Ovis aries: one gene and its partner. The protein of the gene in region 1 purifies or fractionates together with the protein of each later gene. This does not show direct contact. Links are inferred from orthologs where the notes say so. Each region holds a gene or a part of one and is shown on either strand. Other genes may lie near its edges.

What was found. The genes of interacting proteins can lie anywhere in the genome.
Region 2: the proteins of CDC25C (region 1) and SUFU purify together in Homo sapiens (affinity purification with mass spectrometry; 4 studies listed by BioGRID and IntAct, counting the BioPlex papers as one, with this or other methods). This does not show direct contact. The link is inferred for Ovis aries from reciprocal best matches to the Homo sapiens genes CDC25C and SUFU.

The regions. Positions count from the first base shown.
Region 1 is NC_056058.1:47,371,116-47,374,764, forward strand, and holds part of CDC25C (M-phase inducer phosphatase 3), read right to left. Parts: intron 542-3,649; coding exon 389-541; intron 1-388. UniProt on the Homo sapiens protein: Functions as a dosage-dependent inducer in mitotic control. Tyrosine protein phosphatase required for progression of the cell cycle. When phosphorylated, highly effective in activating G2 cells into prophase.
Region 2 is NC_056075.1:22,883,221-22,886,869, reverse strand, and holds part of SUFU (suppressor of fused homolog), read right to left. Parts: intron 1,476-3,649; coding exon 1,341-1,475; intron 1-1,340. UniProt on the Homo sapiens protein: Negative regulator in the hedgehog/smoothened signaling pathway. Down-regulates GLI1-mediated transactivation of target genes. Down-regulates GLI2-mediated transactivation of target genes. Part of a corepressor complex that acts on DNA-bound GLI1.

The DNA of each region.
Region 1 (3,649 bases):
GAGGGCTAAGTTTTTCAGAATTTGCTTTCCAGCAAACCAGTGTGCTCTATGATGTTATTTCTGTCCAAATGCCTATAAAACAGCAATAAATATCCTTCTCAATCAGAGTTCCCTTGTATTCTCTCAGATCTTAAAAAAGGTGGTTGGGAAGACAATACAATGATATCATTTCCAAAATTATAATATAACATATTTATTATTAAATACTATATATGGGTGCAGATGTAGAAAAGGAAAATGGAAAGAGGAGATAAAGGTAAAAGTACAAGGCCAAAAGCTATGCCAAAGCAACCCCCCAACCCAGAAAGGTGGAGAAGATGAGATAAAGATTAAAGACACTGTCTTTTTAAAAAGTTTCTGACAAAAAAAAAAGAAAAAAAAGTCTTACCTTTCTGAGCTCTTTGTGGTTTGAACAATATTTCTTTTTTACTTTATCTGGTATTGTGCTGTCCTTGAATTTTACCACCTGCTTCAGACTTGGACTGTTCAAGATGTCTGGCAATGACGAGGAGCGATACAGGGAGCTCCAGTTCAGAGGTGGCTGTTTGGAAACATGAAACCCCATAGTTCTTATTCCTTGAAGTGTGTCTGCAGGCCAGCACTGTGAACCTCCCCTGGGAGATGGTTAGAAATGCAGAATCCCAGATGTTAGGCTTCTTCCCAAACCTGATGAATTAAAATTTGCACTCTAACAAGATGCCCAGATGATTCCTAGAAACACTTAAGTTTGAGAAACAATGCCCCAGGTAAGGAACCTGTCCTCCCTTCCTCATTAACACCTTCTCCTCAGACTCCATGATGTTCCATCTCTAAGATGTTTTAACTCCAGCCAAATTCTCAACCTGATCATCATATATGACAATACTTGTAGAAAAAAGCAAATGCAAGCTTAATTCCTCTCGTCATATGATAGCTTCTCTATGGGATCCTAAGACCCTGACTATCAAGATTTAAGAATCCCAACAAAGCTGAAGATAACAAGCCAAAAAAGTTAGCCTAGGTGAAAAGTACTAAGAAGCAAGAGTGTATAGTTGTCCCTTGAGACAACTGTGAGGTATCTGTGAGAGGCTGGTTCCAGGACCCCCACAGATACCAAAATCTAGGGGTGCTCAAGTCCCTTATTTAAAATCATGTAGTATATTCTATGAACATCCTTCTGTACATTTATTTTATTTATTTATTTATTTACCATGCTGCACAGCATGTGAAATCTTAGTTTCCTGACCAGAGATCAAATCTATGCCCCATGCAGTTGAACTGCAGAGTGGTTAACCCAGGGAATTCCCTCTTGTATATTTTAAATCATTTCCAGATTGCTTATAATATGTGTGTGTGCATGTGTGTGCATGCACACGCACACTCATGCATGCATGCTAAGTCACTTCAGTCGTTTCTGACTCTTTGCAACCCTGTGGACTGTAGTCTGACAGGTTCCTCTGTCCATGGATTTTCCAGGCAAGAATACTGGAGTGGATTGCCATGCCCTCCTCCAAGGGATCTTCCTGACCCAGGGTCAAACCCACATCTCCTGCATCTCCTGCATTGACAGGTGGACTTTTTACCACTATGCTACCTTGGAAGCCTGCTTATAATACCTAATACAATGTAAATGCTATGTAAATGGTTTCCCATGTAGGCAAATTCAAGCTTGCTTTTTGGAACTTCCTTCATGGGAAAAAAAGAAAACTTAAAAAAAAGTTTTTTTTCAATCTGTGGAGTGAAAGAGGAAAACTATCATTCAGGCTTAAAAGAGGTTAATGGGGGGAGAAAAACAGCAAAATAAGCAGAATGCAAGGGAAAAGGAAATAATAGAATCTAATATCAGGATGAGGACCAGATGGCTTTACAGCTGAATTCTACCAAAAATTTAGAGAAGAGCTAACACCTATCCTACTCAAACTCTTTCAGAAAATTGCAAAGGAAGGTAAACTTCCAAGCTCATTCTATGAGGCCACCATCACCCTAATACCAAAATCTGACAAAGATGCCACAAAAAAAGAAAACTACAGGTCAATATCACTGATGAACATAGATGCAAAAATCCTTAACAAAATTCTAGCAAACAGAATCCAACAACATATTAAAAAGATCATTCATCATGACCAAGTGGGCTTTATCCCAGGGATGCAAGGATTCTTCAATATCTGCAAATCAATCAATGTAATACACCACCACATAACAAACTGAAAGATAAAAACTATATGATTATCTCAATAGATGCAGAGAAAGCCTTTGACAAAATTAAACATCCATTTATGATAAAAACTCTCCAGAAAGCAGGAATAGAAGGAACATACCTCAACATAATAAAAGCTATATATGACAAACCCACAGCAAACATTACCCTCAATGGTGAGAAATTGAAAGCATTTCCCCTAAAGTCAGGAAAAAGAAAAGGGTGCCCACTCTCACCACTACTATTCAATATAGTTTTGGAAGTTTTGGCCACAGCAATCAGAGCAGAAGAAGAAATAAAATGAATCCAGTTTGGAAAAGACGAAGTAAAACTCTCACTGTTTGCAGATGACATGATCCTCTACACAGAAAACCCTAAAGACTCCACCAGAAAATTACTAGAGCTAATCAATGAATATAGTAATGTTGTAGGATATAAAATTAACACACAGAAATCCCTTGCATTCTTATACACTAACAATGAGAAAACAGAAAGAGAAATTAAGGAAACAATTCCATTCACCATTGCAATGAAAAGAATAAAATACTTAGGAATATATCTACCTAAAGAAACAAAAGACCTATATATAGAAAACTATAAAACACTGATGAAAGAAATCAAAGAGGACACAAACAGATGGAAAAATATACCATGGTCATGGATTGGAAGAATCAATATAGTGAAAATGAGTATACTACCCAAAGCAATCTATAGATTCAATATAATTTCTATCAAGCCACCAATGGTATTTTTCACAGGACTAGAACAAATAATTTAACAATTTGTATGGAAATAAAGAACTAGAACGAATAATTTCACAATTTGTATGGAAATACAAAAACCTCAAATAGCCAAAGCAATCTTGAGAAAGAAGAATGGAACTGGAGGAATCAACCTGCCTGACTTCAGGCTCTACTACAAAGCCACAGTCATCAAGACAGTATGCTACTGGCACAAAGACAGAAATATAGATCAATGGAACAAAATAGAAAGCCCAGAGCTAAATCCACACACCTATGGACACCTTATCTTTGACAAAAAAGGCAAGAATATACAATGGAGAAAAGACAATCTCTTTAACAAGTGGTGGTGGGAAAACTTGTAAAAGTAAACTTGTAAAACTTGTAAAAGTCAACCACTTGTAAAAGAATGAAACTAGAACAATTTCTAACACCATACAAAAAAATAAACTCAGAAAGGATTAAAGATCTAAACATAAGACCAGAAACTATAAAACTCCTAGAGGAAAACATAGGCAAAACACTCTCTGACATAAATCACAGCAGGATCTTCTATGACCTACCTCCCAGAGTAATGGAAATAAAAGCAAAAATAAACAAATGGGACCTAATTAAACTTAAAAGATTTGTACAATGAAGGAAACTATAAACAAGGTGAAAAGACAGCTTTCAGAATGGGAGAAAATAATAGCAAATGAAGCAACGGACAAAGAATTAATCTCAAAAATATACA
Region 2 (3,649 bases), on another chromosome or scaffold:
ACTAGGATAAAAAATGTACTGCAGCTGATCTGAGCACAGATAACTAGAGGTAAAAAGGAAGTAGGTAACATCCACAGAGAAACAGAGATGTACATATTCATGATACAGCAAGTAGAATAAAATATTAATGGTAAAATCCAGGGAGCGGTATATGATTGATTGTTCACTGTAAAACTCTTTCAACTTTGCTTCTTTTAAAATTTTTATAATAATCTAGAGGGGGCAAATGGAGAAGGAAATGGCAACCCACTCCAGTGTTCTTGTCTGGAGAATCCCAGGGACGAGGGAGCCTGGTAGGCTGCCGTCTATGGGGTCGCACAGAGTCAGACACGACTGAAGTGATTTAGCAGCGGCAGAGGGGGGAAAAGGAAGTAGACCTAGAGGAATCAACTCAGCTTTTGGGTCACAGCTATGCTGCCTGTACTCTGAGCTCAAACATCACAACAAGCTTGGAGAAACCTAACAGTTTTGGAATTCTCTCTCATCGACACTTTCCTGCACCAGATGAGTACAGCTCAGGTCCTGATCTGGACCACATCGGCACAAGTGGCTACAGGCAGAGGGCAGAAACCCAGATGTTCCACGTGAGAAATGCCAAACTCAAGGGACGATGACGTGATCCTCTCTGCTCAGGAAAACTTGGCTAGGGAAATCAAAATAGAGGAAGTCTTGTGCAGGCTTCGGAAGCAGGAGGGCAGACCTCTGACCTGCTTCTGACCTGCATGGACACTGCCCAGGATCCAAGCGACAGGCACAGTCAGTCAGGCGGCACTTTAGGTAAGAAAGGGAGTGGGTCTTGGATCTCGTAAGCCCCTAAAGGCCTAGCAGACCCCTGGGGTCTAAGAAGTCTTGTGACTCACAAGGTGAAACAAACCCCACTGTAAAAATTAAATCAGAGCTGCCTTTTTGCACCCAAACTGACGATGATATCAGTTTACGGCCTGGGATTATAAGCAGGAGCCCCCAGAAGTGCAATATGAAGTCTCACCTGTGGGGTGGATGCACTGCTCGGTACCCTTTCCCAACTGGGACTCCAGATTGCTATCATTCGGGACTTCCCAGCACTGTTCAACTCTGGATGTAGGTGTCGGCTCAATTTGGTGATGTACACGCTGTTACTTCTCTCTATTGTTTCTATTTCTTTTCCTTCTAGTGACTGTATATTGAAATTAAGTTAATCTATTAAAAGTTGAAATCATTTATTTGTATGTAATGAGTGGTTCTTTTGTTAATGAATCCCTCAAACCTAAAATGAAAGTAACACTTTTGGCAAAACAAAACTCAGAAATAAGGCTCAAGGCTAGGGAAGAGGGAGATAGAAGGCAAGAGTACACACTTACTCATGGACTCTGTTGTCACCATAGAGATCGCTCAGGCCAAAGCTGATGTAGTGCCAGTGCTCAGGGATGTTGGCAGAGGGGCTCCCCACATTCCTGTACATGCTAACATAGTCCAAGGGGTCTGGGCCACCCAACCTGCAAAAGACAAAACACAGGGATGTCAGCATAAACCTTAAAGCAGACAATGTGAAGCTAAAGGGCTCTGCCTTACAAACCTATAGGCCCCATCCTGGACGAATCTGGGGTAAAAGAGAACTAAAGGGAGGGCCATACCTCTCTAGGATAAGACCAAAGGATGGCCAGCTGGAGGTAGCCCAGCTACACAAGCACAAGAGGCTCCCTTCTCCTATCTCAGGTAGAACCTCTTTTAGAAATAAAACAGACTGATTGCTCCCTTTGACTTCCTTCTGTTTCAAGTTACCAACCCCAAGTGGGATTGGCAGGGATTATCTCTCTTCCACGGTGCCTGAAAACACGCCAAGCTTCAAGGCAAGAAGTGCATCAGTCAATCAATGTGCCTCTGTTGAAAGACCATCCTGAGCATCTCCAATGGGCATTGTTACTGGAAGCAGAGGCTCGGCCCCACTCCTGCCTCTTAGACAGCTAATTCCTGAAAGACCATATTGTGCCCTATGTTAATTATAGTTTGTTCTAAACAGACCCAATGCCTCCAGATCCCAGCCTGAACACCCCAGACCAAAGCTGGTCTTTTATCATGCAAGTGACAAAGGCCAAACTTAGGCTAGCTTAGCTCTGCACAGAGAACTGCAGCAGGAGCCCGGCTGAGCCCTGTGAGGTCTTGCAACTGCAAGATGATCCCGGGAGATGGCTGCCTGAAAGGTAGAGCTGGAACATTAAATGATTCAGGGCCTCTGAGGACCACATTAGACTTCCCCATAATTCCAACAGAGAGGCAACTGAGGAAGAGATCAGTCATTAGCTCACTCTGAGGATTTAATTCAAGAAGGGTCCCTTTAGCAGAGTAATTAGTGATCTTTTTAAAAGAATCCTGCTTTTCTTCAGAATGGAGATGGAAACGTGGTAGACTCGAGAGACAGACTAAATGGAAACCATTAGCACAAGGAAGTCTGCATTTAGCCCCCAAACCCTGTACTTGAGCTGCCTTGGACATCGGACGGTTCCACAGACTGCAAAAACTTTGCTTGACCCTGGGACAAGGATGGGGTACACTTGGCATTGGGGATTATATGCTGAAAGAACACAACCAACCAAATAAAAGATTACACGTATGTTATCCCAGCAAACATGCCAGTACCACACGATGCAAACACTATTTAAAACCAGTAGGTTTGGTTTCACCCTCTTTTGCCAGGACATTATTTGCCTTTGCAGAAGTCCTTATTCTCTGCTGGGAAATGCTAAGTTATTTATAGGACTTGCAAGAAAGTCGCTACAAATAGCTTAGAATCTCAACGGAGTGGATTAGGAAAAGAGATAAATCTCCATGTCTTTCCTTAACTCTGCTTTTGCCAAGTTAGTCACTCAGTCATCTCTGACTCTATGCAACCCCATGAAATGTAGCCTACCAGGCTCCTCTGTCCATGGAGTTCTCCAGGCACAAATACTGGAGTGAGTGGGTAAACCATTTGACTAATTCTATAATCATTTGGATTTAGAGAAGTTTGTTGGGGAAAAGAAGAAAGAAAGGGTGGTTACCCCTGCAAGGACCTCATGATAACGGCAGAGCCCTGGAACAGGTGGGAATGATTACAGGCTCCATATCTGCTCTAGTCTCCCTGCTGCCGAGTCCCAGTCCTGCCCAGCCTTCAGCCTAGGTCCCTCCAGCAACAAGGGGCAAAACTGTGTCCACTCTTCTGTGCTCCCCATCTACCACATCCCTGACAGCCCTGGCCAAGTCTCCCAAAGGGCATTTCATCTAAGAGAGAGGCTTTACCTCAAAACTCCATCTGCAGAAAAGGACCGAGAGTCAAACAAAATTAGCCTTTTCTCTAAGTACATAGTGTTCTGTTCTACTCACTCGGAGACCTGATAGGAAGCAGATGAGTACGTGGAAAATCATCATATTTTGCACTTAGAAAAAGATGTTATCCCAGGACCCAGATCATCCCTCAGTGTAAGTCCCTGAACACCTGACTTCACAGGGAAGTTGCCAGAGTGACCCAGGGCACTAGCTCTACTTCAGCTCCCTGACCAGTAAAGCCTCAGCTTTCAGCCATGATGTCCCAGTTGGCTAGTCAAGAAAGTCATCCTTCTGTCACAAGAAAAAAGAATCTCAATACCCTGGGCCACAGCCAAACTGAGGCAGCCTCAGTCAGTCATCCTGCTAT